2 linked regions of the Oreochromis niloticus genome follow. The protein of the gene in region 1 purifies or fractionates together with the protein of each later gene. This does not show direct contact. Links are inferred from orthologs where the notes say so. Each region holds a gene or a part of one and is shown in the gene's direction. Other genes may lie near its edges.

What was found.
Region 2: the proteins of nfx1 (region 1) and larp1 purify together in Homo sapiens (affinity purification with mass spectrometry, with the first as the bait; 3 studies listed by BioGRID). This does not show direct contact. The link is inferred for Oreochromis niloticus from reciprocal best matches to the Homo sapiens genes NFX1 and LARP1.

What each region holds. Positions count from the first base shown.
Region 1 is NC_031974.2:14,808,609-14,816,823, reverse strand, and holds the start of nfx1 (transcriptional repressor NF-X1), read left to right. Parts: upstream 1-4,251; 5' UTR 4,252-4,491; coding exon 4,492-4,510; intron 4,511-5,624; coding exon 5,625-6,470; intron 6,471-7,086; coding exon 7,087-7,248; intron 7,249-7,693; coding exon 7,694-7,771; intron 7,772-7,957; coding exon 7,958-8,063; intron 8,064-8,215. Other genes in the region: asap1b (arf-GAP with SH3 domain, ANK repeat and PH domain-containing protein 1), read right to left, coding at 1,304-1,429. UniProt on the Homo sapiens protein: Binds to the X-box motif of MHC class II genes and represses their expression. May play an important role in regulating the duration of an inflammatory response by limiting the period in which MHC class II molecules are induced by interferon-gamma.
Region 2 is NC_031975.2:23,570,149-23,579,367, reverse strand, and holds the start of larp1 (la-related protein 1), read left to right. Parts: upstream 1-5,522; 5' UTR 5,523-5,828; coding exon 5,829-6,225; intron 6,226-9,219. UniProt on the Homo sapiens protein: RNA-binding protein that regulates the translation of specific target mRNA species downstream of the mTORC1 complex, in function of growth signals and nutrient availability.

The sequences.
Region 1 (8,215 bases):
TGTTTAAAACACTGAAAAGCATGTCGCTCGCTCTTTGGTGCCAGTGTAACGGTTCTTCCTCTGTCATGTGATCTCACTGCAAAAGAAAAAAAAAATTCCAGAGCGGCTACTGAAGCCCAGCGCACATGGCGGCCCTCTCTAACAGATGTTTTTCGTTTGTGCTGCTGCAGTCTCTCGGTTCAGAGGCACAGAGCCAGAGAGGTGATTCATGATGCGAGCCTTTTTCTTGTTACAGTCAGCAGACTGAGAGACGGCTCCAGGTTGAGAATAAACACGAGCCCGGCTCTGTTTTGGTAGATTTCCTATTGTTACGATATGATAAAGCTGTAGAAGAAGACATGACAGATGGCACAGATTGTGTGCTTTAATATGTGATTTTGTATATTGGAGCAAGCGGACTGGGCCTGTGCTTTCTCCTCCACACTCACCATCCAGCTCATTTTCATCCTAAATGGAAAGCTGGTATCACACTGAACGCTCCTGCAAGCCTGGAGTCATTCACGTCTGCAGCTAAATGTGCTTCAAAGCGGGAAATGAGGTCACATTTTGGCATTAATGGACGGCGGTGAAGGTGTGCGCTCCCCTGGTTTGATGCTCCATTTAATCATGGCAGGAAGAAGGGAGGCAAACACTTCACAGCTCACCTGCCTGACCTGATTACACCTCTTCCTGCATGATCAGAGGTGACACAGCATCACAGAGTGTGACTTTGGGTGTGTTTCCCCAGCAAACGTTTTCTGCTTTTTTTTTTTTTTTTTTTTGAGATACAAATCAGTGTGTTGTGACAGCAAGGAATGAGGAATAACACAGAATCCAGATCTGAATACTAGGAAAAGGGTTTTCTCTGCTACAGCCTGGCGGCATGCTCTAAAGCCTTGAGTTATGTAATAGTGAACACAGTGAGCTGCAGGCCTGAATGCACATCTTTCTATTCCAGCAAAGCCATCCACCCCGTCTATTCTTACTCTTCATATCAGGCGAGATAACACACTATTTTGCATCAGGTCTTAGGCTGAAATAGGTGCACTTTAGGGGCAACAGGTGCAATTATTTTCCCCTTTCCTCTGCGCATATTAATGCATCTGGAGGTCTGAGGGGATTTTCAAAGCTTTCAAACATTATCGCCGGAATTTAAGGTGGATTGCATGCACCCTTGGCTCTATAAAAAATGCATCCTCGTTCAGAGATGGTGCATTTCCCCTCATTAGTATCATTCTTTATTAAATAATAACAACAATAATAATACAGTCTGTGTGGCTGTAATTATCCATCCATCCTCAGCAGGCTCACACCGTGGCCTTACCTCCTCCAGCACATTCACTGTATTCCTGCAGCTCTGCATTCGGGTGGTGAAGCTGGATGTTGTCGGGGAATTGTAATCCTCTGTTGTCTCCGAGAGAAACTCGGACACCGATATTTGATCCGGCATCCTTTAACTGTGAGGGGGTAAATGCCCACAGGAGGGTTGGCGATGAATGCTCAGAAAGACAAAACCATGTAAGATTTAAAATTAGATAGAAAGCACGATGGGGGGACTGTACGGCCGATGGAAAGGCTAAGCCGATTTTTTCCCCCTGCAAAACTGCGTTAAACTATCGAGATGATTAAGACGTGCCTTCTTCTCCTGTGACTTCTCAAATGACTTCACTGTTCCCCAAGGGCCCACGGCAGGAGGGAATTTACCAAATATCTGCAGGCTGGGTCCCCCTCTCGGTGTGTATTTTCCGCGAGAAGATGTCTAAAAGCGACACATTTATAAATAGTGTCACTCTGCGTCTAACTAAACCACGGAGGGAAAAGCGGCGTAAAGAATAGCGGATGCCCTCATTATGCTCTACAGATGTGCAAAAAGCCGCTTGTCGTCAAAACCGCGCGACGTTACCAGGCTCGGTTTAAATTTTCTCATAGTCCACGGTCTGCCGAGGTTGTCTGGTACTTTGGTCCCGTTTTCTTCTGTCGTAGTTTAACGTTTTTTAAAAAGCTAAACGCTGCCGCAGACACATTCACTGCCACTCTCTCCTGCGCTCGGAGCTGCTCAGAAGCGACGTCAAGCTAGCGCTGAGACAAAGCGCAACTTCTGGGCAGTAATTTCAATATAAAACACCAGCTAACGCTTTTACATTACGTAAATGCATTTTTAATGAATGGAAAAGACTATATATAAAAGGCGGTAAGCTTAAAATGTCTAAATATGTGTTTAAGAGAAAGATATGCACAAAAATAACATTTATCATCCATTTTTGTTCAGATTGTTGTCAGTAGAGCTGACGATAGCTTGATTTTTCTATCGTGAATTTTCAGTGTACTAATATAAAACGTATCATAGCGGCTAGTAAGCATTTATAAGGGGAAAATGTGTTCGTGTCACATGATTTTTATAGTTTTATTTTGAAATTACATTCCAAAATATCCGTTTTTTATGTCCATAAACTGAATGGTTTACAAATAGCTCTCCCGCCCACCTCGCCTGGTTGACTAGGACGGAGGGCTGCTGTACGCATGCGTGATCTGGACTCAGTAACTGCAGAATGGTCCGTCGGTGTAGCTGTAGGCCTGAAAGGGAAAAGAAATATGTCCACAAAAACACGAGTAATTTTTATTTTATGGGATGTTTTTATTCTTGGGTAATATTTTGAAGACTAGAAACCCATCTAAGCACTGTAGGTCACTTAGCTGCCATCAAAGGCAGAAAAATCGCCAGTTGACTTGATGTCCTTTGGGTTTCCAGCGCAGTATTTTCCAGCTGAATTTTAGGATTTGCTCAGTAGCAGCTTTTTAAGTTCACTTACGATTTAGTACCAGCAAATATGTCATTGCATTATTTCCCTAATGCTAGTATTGCTTGTTAACTGTCACCTGGGGAAAATGACTAGTGTTACAATTGTTTTTTTCAGGGAAATATGTGTCATTTTGAAGGTCATCAGTTTGAATATAAAGGTAGGACTAATGTAATAGAGCCTGGTAGACATTTTGCTCTTATTTATATCTGCATAATTCGTGAGGCAGTGACACTGATTCCCAGCCATCCCAGGATGACTAAATATCCTGTTTAGTCATCTGGGGTTCTGGTCCAGAGGACTGCACTGGATACAAAACACATCTGCAAATTAGTCCTCTATCACTTTTCAGGTCATAATGAAAAGGGCAAAGTATAGTCTATTAACTCCATCTAGTTTTTAGTTACTAATATTGACTTTCACTTCCTTTTCAAAACTGCATAAATGTACTCCATGAAAGTACCTCAACACAGGGCATATTAAAGCATAAGCAGAAGTACAGATTACATTGATATTGTTTTTTTCCCCAAAGTTTCAGTCGGGAAAGCCCTCCTTAGTCTCTGGTGTACAAACCCAAACACGAAGCGCCACCTTGTGGGCATGATTTTGAGTTTTTTGTTTATATTGGATGGATGTGCTTTATTTATGAATCATTAAGGTTAGATGGCCTATATATATATTATTTAAAATTAAAGCAAATTAAGATAGACAATTTTTATAGTCACAGATCAAAAGGAAAGAACACATAGTGTTCATATGTGCAAAATGGGAATAATTCATATATTGAATCAAACATTTATACAATGAATAAATAAATGTCTCAATATTTACTACGTAATTGAAAACTAATGAACACCTCTGTATACCAAAGTATTCTAGAGTCAAATGTGAGCCCAACTGTCCGAAAGCTAAAACTTCATGACAGTTATCTCAAGAACAACAGCAAATCCCTGACAGAATGTCTGAAAAAGAAAAGAATCAAGGTGTTGCAACCCAGCTGAAGTACATCTTCAGAGAGTAGTGCATAAACGACTTCCTGCAAACTTCAATGAACAAATCTTGTAAAGAGGAGTGGGCACAATCCCTCCATAGAGATGAGAAAGACTGATGAAATCATACAGAAAACAAAAACTTCCATTTGCAGCCACAAAGGTGGGTGTACTTAGCTTTTGCCCCACTGTTTCTTCATTTTGTTTTTTTGTGTAACTGTGACACGATGTAATGTGTGTAGTATGTCATGTCTTACTGTTCATCTGAGGTTGTACTAAAAAGTGTTATTTTTATTATGTCATAATGTGTAAAGCCTTAGAACTGAAAGACTTTATTTCTTATGTATTTTTACCACGACTGTCTTATTTTTTACTTTGGAGTAATTCCCTCCGTTTATTTCTTGCTGTGTGTTCCATGCAGTAGTAATATCAATTTTGAAAACGTTTTATTTTGGTTTTATTTTATAAACGCTGACCGGAAGTTCCGTTTATGACATCTGCGCTAACCGTTAGCTAACTAGCTAGCTTATATTAATAAGGTGCGAGGCAGGCAAGGGAAGATTACCGTCGCTTTTAAGGGGTTTCGGATCATTTTTAAGAACCGGAAGACAGGAAACAGGGTGGATACGGTCGCGGAGGGCGTGGACACGCGTGTCATTTCTCTTAAAGCTGCACTTTGTCGTTATACGTGCTGCGGAACAAGCAACAAGGAGTGCTCAGACTGAATGGCCGAGGGCTTCTCAGGTAACTAATGTGCAGTTTTAATAACAGTGAGTCACAGGAACCCGAGGCAGCCTAAACCGACTCTTAAATCATTCTGAAATACTGACTTTAGCAGCTTCGCTAACAGTTACACACTCTCTTGCTAGTTGTGTTAGCTGGACAACCTTAAGCAGCCTAAACATAAACTTTTAGCTGACGCAGTTTTCTGTTCACTTGCTCTGGGTTGCTAATGTTAGCCTAGCATCTCTGAGTGATCGTGCAGTTCGTGGATGAGGTAACGACGCGTGACAGCCGAGGAACTTTGAAAGGCAACAGCACGCCAGATGATGGTACGCGTTGTTATCCATAAAATCGAGAGCTGTCATGCTCATTTTAGACTCCATATTTTCATTACTTGTACATATACTGACCTTAAGATTTTAAATTGCACATAAGAACAGATCATCCCCATATAGTTAAGGCATAGAGTCTGTGTTGCTCTACTCAGCAGAACTTTTCCAGCTTGTTTTTGGCCATTTGATATACCGAAATGTATATTAGGGCTTCGTGAACAAAACTGTATTGCAAACCACAAAGTCAAGTCATCTTTATTTATATAGCACATTTAAAAGACATCAAGTGTCGGCCAAAGTGCTGAACAGAGGGATAATACAATAAAAACAATTAAATAGATAAAATGAAAACATTATAGAAACAATGTAAGACATCCATATACGTTTGTAAAAAGTATATGTGTACATGCAAATATGCAAATACATATACAAAAATGTACACATTCACACACAAGCACGCATACGTGAACATAAAATACATGTATATGTGTATACACATGCAAACATCATCCACAAAAAGTGGTCATGATGATTTTACACCTGCGGGTGCAAACATTTTTTTCATATGCAGGAAAAAAAATCTGTCTATAACAACATTTGCTCATGGCAAAATGTTATTGCACTCTTTATTTGTCATATGCAATTTAAAATGTCATCTCATAAGTAAATAGGTCACAACGATCCCCGAAATCCTTGCAAAATGACAATAAATGATGTTGTCCTGCCTAGTTTAAAGTCTTAAGTGTTTTCGCTCTAAATATATTTGATGTTGCTCATAACTTGGTTCTGTTTTCTTGTTGCAGACCCACCTGACCTCAATCCAGATGGGACGCAACATCAAACGTCACATCAGCACAAACCCAGAAGAGGCCGACCCAGACACAACAATGACAGACACCTGAGTAACAACAGTAATGAGACCTGTCATCAGTCTGGACACTTTAGTCAGGGGACTAATCCCCCTTTTAGCCATAAATCAAATTATGAAGACCATCATCGTCCTTCTTACCAAGGAGGAGATGAAGGCAGAAGGCGTGGTAGAGGAAGAGGATGGAGAGAAGGGAACAGAGGAGGTTCTGTGCCATGGCGGCAAAGACCTGGAGGTGACCCATACGGTGGCAGCAACAGATACATGAGTGGCGTCCATGCTTTTGCACATCCCATGGGTGGTGCTGATGGACCCAACTGGCGGCGAGGAAGTGCAAACAGGGATACAGAACAAACTAATGAGGACCAGGATGCCCAGGCTAAAAAACCAAGGAAGTTTAGTCAGGAGCAGCGAAAGGGAGAACAGAATGGCAGTTTGAAGGAGAACAACACCACAGTGGAGGATCAGCGGAAGAGAGAAGACTCAGAGTGCCAACATGACAATAATCAGAGGAAACACACTGACCCAAAGCGACGGCAAGGACCAATCAAACCACCCAAACAACCATCTCAAGAGGAGCCAGGCTCAGAGAAGGGAGCCAGTGGCCAAGATGACTCTGATCAGGGGCGAGCATCTCAGGATCCTGCAGGCAAAGGTGGAAGAGGCTCAGGGAGGAATGCTCCCCTTCAGGCCAGAGGTGGGAGAAGAACAAACTATCAAAACTACAAACCTGGTCAGAGGAGCTGGAACAAGGTGCCAAAGAGCAAAGAGACGCAGACAGGTTCGACTCTTACTTCTCTAAGATATTGTATGGCGATCAAATTCCCCAACTTATTTTAAATTTCTATCAATGTTTTACATTTTTATATTGTTACAGTTTTGTTAGACACAAAATGTTTAATTAGAATTTATTGATTTTTTTTTTTTTTTTTTTTTTTTTTTAGGAAACCTGGTTTCCTAACAAACTAACATAAGTTGGTTCAAATTTCCCCATATTTTGCTGTTAAGTATTTCATATTCACTATATTTGCAAAAAACGGTCCTTTTTGGTTGTTTTTGGGGGACTTTTTTGTCCCTTTTTAGTAGCTCTAGTTCAGTTAGTTTTAATATTGGCCCTGTAACCAATGTTTAATGTTATGTTTTATTGATTATTTTGTCTTTAAAAAGGGCGGGAAATAATTAAAAATGCAAATCAAGGTCCAAAAACCCAAGCCCATGTTTTAGAGTGCTTACTTAGTGTAAAAGTCTTATGATGTTTGGTTGGAAGCAACCTGAATTATTGATGAGTCTGTCAGTGAACTAAACGACATACGAGCGGAAAGTTTTGGATAAAGGTCTGTGGGTGGAAACGAAGTATTTGTTGCAGTCTTCTGAACCTCTGATCTCTTCCTCCGCAGGGTGTCTGATTGAACAGCTGTCGGAGGAGAAATACGAGTGCATGGTGTGCTGTGATGTGATCCGGGTCATGGCGCCGGTGTGGAGCTGTCAGAGCTGCTTCCACGTCTTCCACCTCAACTGCATCAAGAAATGGGCTCGATCGCCAGCCTCGCAGGCAGACGGTGCGGCGTGTGAACACAGTGTTTACTCTGTGTGTGAGCATTTTAGTGCAGTCTGTGTACTCAGCATAACGAGCTCCTAACAGTGGCTGGTACTCAGTGTTCAGGGATGGTCACTGTGACAGTAACTCGTGCAGTGAAATTCCTGCTGCTTCTGCAGTGCTTTGTGTTGCATTGAAAACCGAGAGGTCAAGTGGATTTCTGTTATTGTTCCCATTATGAATCTGCGCTATACAATACGACACGTCACCTTCTGTCCTTCATCATAGGAAAAAAATACAGAAAAAATGTTTTAAGCTACATTTAAGGCTAAGTGGTTTTTACTTCAGTGCCACAGATGACTGTACTGGGAAAGCACATCCTTCCCAGAGGGTGAACCTTTCATTCAGCGTTATGCAGAAAGAAAAAATGGATGCATGTATTTTTAAGTTCAGCTTTTTTGTAACAGATTCAGCTGAAGGTTGGCGTTGTCCAGCCTGCCAGAATGTTTCAATGAAACACCCGACCTCCTACACCTGCTTCTGTGGTGAGTATTTGTTTAATTCAAGCATAGATGTACATCACTGCTGAGAAATGGTGATGAACTTGCTCTCAGGTTAGACGATTTAATGAAATTGTTATCATATACTACTGACTCCTTCCAAAAGCTTTGTTACGTTAAGTTTGCTACAGAGAGTGATGGGAAGAGTTGTTCCGTTTGTTTCATTGGCAGGTAAAGTGACAAACCCTGAGTGGCAGCGTACTGAGATTCCCCACAGCTGCGGTGACATGTGCGGGAAGAAGAGGAGTGGAGTGGACTGCAACCACCCCTGCAATATGTGAGCCTTAAAAACACAAGAAAGCTGCTTCTAGCTTCAAATTACGTTATTACAAGATGGTAGGGCTTCAGAAGTTCATCGATAACTTTTGCAAATGATCGATAACTTTTAAGAATGTATTTCTTTGTGAGGTAAGCTGTGAAACTGTTTTA
Region 2 (9,219 bases), on another chromosome or scaffold:
ACACACTAATTAGTGTGTAATTATGTGTAATTATAATTACACACTGATTAGTGTGTAATTATATCTTCAAACAAACTGATTCATTTATGTCTGCACCTTCAGACTGAAGATGTCCAGGATCACCAAAGAAGCAAAGACTCGAAGGAAAGAGAAGTAACTACCGGCATCTTTCTCTCCTCACCTCATTCCTCGTCTCCTAAACTGAAGTCAGGGCTGTGACACACACAAACTTGCACAAAACATGCTTATTTATTCTCAGTATTGTTACAATTACTTATTGACAGCAGATTAGACATGTGGCCATCCCTTCTGCGCACAGCTGACAACAAACTGGCTAAACATCAACACAGCTAGTTATCAGCTAACATTATGTTAATGTTAGACCTGAGTGACCGAAAAATCTAATTTTCGCTCTGATGAACAGTTTGATTACATTTTCATATTGCATTAGGGTTTATTCCCTCTCATATGAAACAATTGAATTCAATTTCAATCCGATTTATTTATACAGCGCCAAATCACAACAACAGTCGTCTCAAAGCGCTTTATAAAGTAGACCCAACAATAATACATACAGATAAAAACCCAACAATCATACGACCCCCTATAAGTAAGCACTTTGGAGACAGAGACAGTGGGAGGGAAAAAACTCCCTTTTGTTAAATGTTAAATCCACTTCAAAGATAGTTTCACAAACGCTGGCTAACAGCAGCAAAGACAGTGACGCTTACTGGCAGGAAACTTCAGGATATCCTCGACAACTCATTTCAGTATTGCTGTCATCAGACAGAAGTGAGCGTCCCTGGCTCATCAACACTTAATAGTTTTACAACCTCCTGCATAGCAAATAGATGTGGACACGTATTGACAGCTGAGGTTAAGAGTGGCCTGACAGCCCACACTCACTACAGAAGAACGGCGGCCACCTTACCCAGGATTCTGCACTTTAATTGGAAGGGTTAAGAAAACAGAATTCAATTGACTGCAAGTTGCAATCTAGAGACATCTAGTGGTGAGATTTTTGCACACTGTACCTTTAATGTTGTTTATTATAAAATGTATTGCTGGAAACGTTCATATTCAACTCTATGAAAAAAGAAAGTATTTTATTAATTAACATACCTGAACACACTTTTTAAACACATTGTGTTCTGGCAGGACTAAAGCAGGAGGACTGACTTTTATGACAGTTGCATGATTATAATGTGGATAACAGCTCGAGAAAAGCAGCTGGTCCAGTTTTGTCTACCATATCCCCATTCACGTGGGAGATTTAGGTCTACATAAGCTGGTGTCTGAGGTTTCACAGTTTTGGTATCACAAATTGTTACTGGTGTACCAACTACTAACTAATACTCTTCCACTAAGCATTTATTTTTATTTTTAACTTTAAAGCATTCCCTGTGGTGAAGCACTGACTGAAAAAAACACAATAATGATGGCAGCTAAGATGAAAATTCATCCCTAATAGAGAATGTGGGAGATATTCTGATGTTAAAAATGAACCTGTAGTTGGTTTCTTTGCAGTGAGGTCACTATGCTACTGGGTCGGTTTAAATATAGCATACTATTTATGGCTATATGAATGCTGCAGAATTGGTTGTGCTAGCTTTAAAGAGACCTGCTGTCAGTTTTTATTGATCTCAGTAGTCGGGACCACCCGTTTTAAGGAAGTGCTGGAGAATGTGCGTGCAGGAATGTGATGGGTGTGAATTCATTTATATGGTTGGTGTAATTTAAATCAAACCAAACTTTTTTTCTCTCATTACTTTCTCTTGTCACAGAACTGTTTTCTCTTGCACACACCCATCATTCAAATATAGTAACCGATGCTACGCCCTTCATAATAATGCAACCATTAACAGTAGGGTAAGAGGAAGTATGTGCATGCCATGATCAGTGCTGGCTGACGGCATAGTTCTGGCTTTACTCAGAAAACACTCCAGGAATCCTGCCGGCCGTGTGCAACAGCTAAAGCTCCTGGGATCATGTGTCAAAACTTTTTATAAATGCTTTGTAACACATAACGTATGTTTTATTTTTAAACACTTTGTGAATCTGGTGAACTTGGTGTTTTGCTAGAGCTGGTGATTGCAATATATATTTGGAAAGTGGGCTTACCATCTCTTCTTTTTTCCTCCACTTTTCCAGTTTCCTCAATTTTTTTAAGCACACTGTGCACACCCAACACAGATATGTCAGTGCGTCGCCTCTGTCAGTGCACCCCAGGGTGGCTGTGGCTACAGTGTAGCTTGCCATCACCAGTGTGTGAATGTGTGTGCGAATGGGTGGATGACTAGTTGTGTAAAGCGCTTTGGGGTCCTTAGGGACTAGTAAAGCGCTATACAAATATAGGCCAGTTACCATTTATTTACCATATGTGAACTTTTGAGCTAAGAGCTCTTTGGGAATCAACTTGTTGCTTGACAAAAATACTATTTTATGCCTGCCAAACTGTGTTTTATTTGGCATTGTTCATGATGTTTTTGTGGCAAGCTGCTGGTAACAAAGTGTGTAAAAAAACAATGTAAAATTGTTTCTTTGTTAAGTTGCCTGTTGTGTAGATACAACACTGGTTTTCCTTGAGTTAGGTGCCTTTTTTGTGCTCGAATGATTCATAGGTCAGTCTTTAGTGGCTTAAGACAAAAACATTCATCTGAAAATAGTCAGGTGTAAGGAGTGGGCTGAAAAACAGCGAATGTCCAAAGAAAAACTGGCCTTCAGAGAGCCTATAGAACTATTGCTCAAGGCCAATTTAAAAAGATTACAAGAAAGTCTTGCTCCTTAAAAGCAGAATATAAAGACACGAGTTGTGGCTCAAGGATTTTGCACAGTACTGTACTTTTTTAGGTTTATTTTACAGTGTACAGAATTTATAATTTACATTGTATTTTGCACTGTATGACTTTTATATTATATGTATCATATTAGGTTAGTTTTCTGCTACTTCACCGCACCAGGGAGTACATTTGAAAAGGAAATATTGTATTATTCAGTCCTGTACATTAAACATTTTAGCTGTAAAAAATATGAATAGATACTATATTTACATCCATTAACTTATGTATTATGCAATGTTCTAGTTCTTCTGGAGGTTACTTCCTGTTAAAAAGGAGTTTTCCCTTTCCGCTGTTGCTCGTAGGGGGTCTTCTGAGTGTTGGGGGTTTTCTCTGTTATTGCAGGGATTTTACCTTACAATATAAAGTTCTCTGAAGCAACCACTGTTATGATTCACAACTACATAAATAAAATTATATTCACTTGAAGTGTTTTAGAGTAAATCAACTTTCACTATGTCCTATTGTGGAAACAGGGGTTGATCCAGATTTTTTATATTAATACAGTATTTCTACAGTCCAAAAACACCCTAAAAGTACTTTTATGCCTGCTTTTTGTACTTATATATTATATTAGTATATTCATATACTGTATATTGCACAGATAACGTTTTACTATAGAGTGTGAATGAAAGATTTTTATGTTGCTATTTTTCTTAATGAAATACCTCAGAGCCTCTGACTCTAATCTAATCTTGGGGCATTCAGTAAAGTGAATATTTGCCTTTCTGCATGACTTCTTCTGTCTATATAGCGGTGAGCAGTGGTGACTGTAGAGGAACAGCTGGCTGATGCGCAGCCACATTTTCCCTCTGCGTTCACGCAAGTCATCATTTTCTTTCTCCAAACGCACAGGCGCGTCCCCTCTTTCCCATAAAGTAGCACATTATATAATCAACCAGACCAGCTTAAAAAAGGTCTATAATGCTGAGCGACGCGTAATGTCGCTAAAGACACAACACAAACACACGTAGAACTGCAGACGCATACTCAACAGGGACAGGGAAGGTCAATCTATCTATGTGTTTCGGTAAAAGTAGAAAACTTCAGAGGAAGAGCTTCTTCTTTTTTCTGGAAATCAGGAGGGAGCACACACGTGCAGCTCCGGTATGCACACGTGTGTGTATAGTGTGTGAACTCTGAGAGGGGGGATTGCATGCCCACCTTTTTTTCTCCTTTTCTTTCTTTTCCTTTTTTTCAAATTAAAAAAAGAAAAAAAATCTATACAAGCGTATAAAAGGACAAATTCCACGTGGTACCCACGAACGTATTTGTAAACTACTTGTTACAACAATAAGCTTGTGTTTTGGTCAGCTAGTCAATGAGGTAAAGGTGATGAAACGGTGACACGTCTAAAGAGCGTGCCAGACGTCATCAAAAGATCCGCGGTGCGTTTACGTCTATCGGAAAAATCTGACGTGGATGTAGACTAGGGTATAAGTATTAATAGATGGTGATAGCGGTTATAATTGCACGTTTCCTCCAGGATCAGGGGGTGGGCACTTCATATTTCCGAGGGACCACATGAGAAACTGCGTAAGGCCCGACAAGTTTATTTAATCTCTTTATAAGCTCATTGGTCCAGCCCTGCACAACAGTCCCAGGCTGGCATGTGGCCTCTTGGGAAAATTAATTTCTCACCTTTACAGGTGCTTGGGTTTCCTCCTAAAGTCCAAACACATTTTATCCAACATTGTTGTGATAGTCTCTTACAAATAAAATTGTATAAAATCAATAAGAGTAACATAAACACATTTCACACTGATAGTATTATCTGTGGGACAGGCAATGCTATTTTAAGTTATTGTATTTTTCCTTTACGTTTTCTTTGCTTAGTTAAATACAGTTTAAGCATTACAGGTGTTTAACTAGCTTTTTTATGTAGCATGTGATTGAGGGTGATAAGTAATGATAGGAAACCCTTTTGGAGCATTTGATTGGCTCAACTCCTCCTCAAGACAAAGAAAGCTCTGATCCAATCAATCACTGTTAAAATAGTTGCAATAAAACTTATGAAGGTGCACGAATACCAAAATGAATAAATAAATACATTCTTAAATAAATACACGTGTCTTTGCTGTTTATTGTTGTGCAATGTAGACTGTACTATGTTTAATCTATCCATATGTAATTAAAATGGGAAATAAATACATTAAAGGTTTTAAATGAAATTATTTTATATTTAATTCATTGGTTTATTTAATGACTTATTTATTGAACTCGTGGCCTACCATAAAAACTGACCTACAGCCGGTCATTCCTATAATTTAACTTCATCCATGCTGGGCTTACATGCTTAGTCACACCCCAACGGCAAAATTTGGGACAGCTGGGTTAAATCAATTATTATGTGAACGTCATTAATATATCTAAATGCTGTCTTTTACTTTTATTCCAGTTTCACTGCGGAATAAAAAAATATGCATTAAAATGATTAATTATTTTTTCATTTATAAAAATGTCTTTGTCTTTGGTGTGACTCCTTGGTTTCAACAGCTAATTTCGTCCAAAACACACAGCGTGACTCAGTGATACGTTTCGTTACTGATCGCACTTGAATGCGCCCGACGAAGAGCCACTTTACGACTTCCCAAATTGGAAATTAAGAGGTTTTATGACGAGGAAGCGCTTGAAAGCAGCAAGTCGACCTGACCCAAAAGCGCGCTCCCTGCGTTTTACGTGTCTCCTCCCCCTCCACACTGTACGTGCGCGCACCACTCTATCGCGTGGTGGGGATCATCCATGTTGCTACTAGTGGTGGAGATAAGGTTGTAATCCTGAGAGGCCCCGGAGACGTTTCTTGGGTTTTTTTATATGCTCTAACTCGGCGCTGACTGCTCCGCGTCGTGGACTGAAGCTCTTTTGGTCTCGGAGCGACACAGAAGCGGCAGACTCTGCGGAAAAACTTCACGTTTCCCTGAAATTGAAGGCGAATTCGGGCCGGGGGGGAGGACTGGTAATCCTGAGGGGGAAGAAAGACGGTGGTGGGAAATGGCCACTCAGGTGGAGGCTCTCCTACCCGGCAACCCGCTTGCTCAAGCGAAGGAGCACGGTAAAGTGATCCGCAGTGAGCCTAAGGAGGAGCCTAGCGGCCGGGGCGACGGGGCCAAGCGGCAGACGGGTGTCGCCGATCAGGGGAGCGGCGGAGGCGGCAGCAGCAGTCCAGGACAGGGAGGGACCACCGGCTCGGAGGAGCAGACCTCCAAGCGGGCGACAGAGGAGAGCAAAGGCGACTGTGACAGCGAAGACAAGCAAGGCGAGGAGGGAGTTAAAGGCGGCGGTGGCAACAAAAAGGAGTTTACTGAAGCTCCCCCGCCCAAGGTGAACCCGTGGACGAGGAAAATGAATGCTGTGACCGTGGTCAGCGTGAATGGACAAGCACACCACGGTCTGTACCCTCCCTACGTGTTGATTTACTGGCTGTCAGTGTTGTGTTTAGTGTCTGCCTGCACAGGTGTGGTCGTCCTGCTTTCACAGGGGGAGTCATGGGGGTGATTTATTGAACCAAAAAGAAAGAAAAAAGAGAGGCAACAGAATTGATGAACAAGCTCTAACTGTGGTATTTTGCAGGCTGGTTATATTTGGAGTTAAAGCCCTCCCTCCTCCACCACCACCACCACCTCATAGTGAAGGCTATTCTTGGGGGAACATGGGTGGCTGATTGCACAAGTGATCACACCCTTCCCAAAAAAAAGTAAAGGTGCTCCAAAATGCCTGCAGCTTTTCTGAAATTTAAAGGTGCAGTTCAGGGATCCGGTACCCCAAATAGCCTTTCACTTGGGTGGACGGTTTATGGGCACTGTGTGTTGTGGTGCAAAGGTTGTGAAGTTGATCACTGGTGTGTCATCAGATCGTGCATTTTCTTTTACTTGAGAGAGTTTTGGTGTCTCTTTCTTGGGGCTTTTTAGGAGGAGGAGCGTATTAATTTTAGCAATGTCATCGTGCATGCTTGCTTGCATAGACTTTAAACTTTCAAGTTAGGAGGAGAAGACTGAAAGAAGCTCCCCTGTCTTGATGATTTCCCTCCCCCTTCTTCTGCTGACACCCACCCTTGCATACAGCCACATCTCTGCTCTGCTGACACACACCAAGCTTGCCAAATATTTAAACCAGTATTTACTACTGTTTACATGTTTGCTTTTGGGGCCGGTTTCGACACAGCATCAACCGCATCAGTTGATCGGGACATCCGCCCATGTCTCTTGCATTACATCAATTAGCATTAAAGGCACGAGTATGCTCGGTTGTGTAGCAGCTTAGCCGGCTAACAATAGCACACTGACTCCCTTTTTGGCCTAGTCCTTCGCCGGGCCCTTCTCATTCAGATGTTAGCCTAGCTCCCATGTGGCTAATACTCGCGTCCGATCAGCCCGTGTAAAACACGTCAGCCTCTCAGTCGTTTAAAGAACCCTCCTCGGTGCTAAAATTCTTGTCAAACCTGAAACATTTGGTGGTTTAAGCCTTAAAAACGAGCATGTTTGTTGTGAGACGTCACGTGTTCACTCCACGTGTTCCCCTAGAGAAAGGCATGAGAGCTGTTAGCTAGCTAGCTGTCTGCTTGGGCGACTTCGCTGCATTAGAGGGCAGATGTCGCATGTGGCGGTCTTGCCTGAGGCGGTCCGGGGGTTTTCGTGGTAAAGAAGCCGGTTGTCACGTCGTGTATGTGTTGTCAGAGCAAAACCCGGCACCTAGTCTGCTCCTCCACCCTGCTAGGTGTCGTTAGCCTGGAAGCTAGCAGGCAGATTTCATCGTGCATTTTATCTTATCGATCAGTGATCCAGAAAACGGATTACTATTATGTTTTTGTCTGTAACAATTCACACGAAGTTGCCCCAGAATCCACACCGATTGTCGATAATCGATCAGGTGGAGTGATATTGGTGATGCACATGTAGGGGACAGCTCCCTGCCCTGTTAAAGCAACGTGGTTTTCATGTCTCACAGCCATGTGTTATTTCCTGCACGCTGTGTTGCAGCCTCTCAGTCAGGTCCGAGTCTTTGTTTGCACAAGAGCTGAAAGCGTGTGTAACTCATGTAGACTTCAGCCTGTACTCAGGGTGGATTGGATTGCTTCTTGCTCCTAAATCTGTCACATCAGCACATGAAGAGCCACTTTGTAGCTTGCCAGGCAGCATTGCCCCCCTCCACCCCTTCTTTATGCTGATTGAAACCGGTTTGCTGGTTGACTTTTTGAGGCAGTGGCTCTAAACCCTTTTTGTTTTCTTGTTTACTTATGATTCAAGGCCACTACCAGTGTAGCTGGGAAGTTCTAGTCACAGGTTTTTGTCCCGATGACTTGTAAGCAGTTCCCTGAAAATGGATTTCAGTTTTTGGGGATGTAGGTAAACCATGGTTTTAATGAAAAAAAGTAGAGTTGGGCAGTGATATAGAAATGTGTCAACCATGAGGAACTTTTAAATCTTCTGCGTTTTTTTGTCATTCCAACACGTGCACTTGCAGGAAGTGAAACTAATTTTTGCACACAGGTCCCAGGTAAAAGCCAAGAAGAATGAGAGCACACAAGGAATATGTACAAAAACAAACTTGGAGAAAGTTTAGCATAAAATATGTCAACATACAAGTGTTTGCTTCTGCAAAATAGTTTTAATAACAAGCATTTAGGATGGTTAAGACTCAGATGTTTCACAAGGACTGAGTTTGGTCCAAATAAGCTATTTTTTATTAATTGAAGAAATGATAAAATAAGTCCTTGTGGTTGTGTGGTTCCAGATCTTTTGGCTCAGTTTGATCCACCACACAGATGAATTCCTGACATAAAACAGTAGATTTTTTGATTAAAAAACAAAACATTAGGTCAAGTTTTTGCTCCTTAGCTAGTCAGAGCCGTTGGTGGGAAGAATCATACTCTTAAGTGGAGTGCTGTAAGTGGGATATTTTGAATAGCCAGGGTTACTTGTGGGTGTTTTTTGTCCATCTCTGATAGCTGTTGAACTGATGTTACTTTGCCAAACCCTGGCAAACCTTTATGGTGGTCTGGCTTTGCATCAGCATCACCTTAAAAAGCTAATAGAATTAGGCTTATGATTAGTTTCAAGTGATCATTTAGGGAAACTAGGATCCCCTCCATGGAAATTGGTAAGACAGAAGGTGGAAATGGAGTTTAAAACCCTGTAAGCGATTAGTCTGTAGTTTCTAATCAGCCGTGTGTACTCTGTGTGTCCTTGAACAAGATCCTGGAATCCTGTTATGGATAAAGCTAGAACCTGCATGACTGGGACTGGTTATCCACATGTCACAGTGGGAGTATGTAACTATATGTGAAAAGCGGATTTCAACAAGATTTTTATTTTTTCCCCCTGGTTCAGACTGATTGGGTTTAATATTAATGTCAAGTTTACCTGGAGTTTTCTAACCACACCTA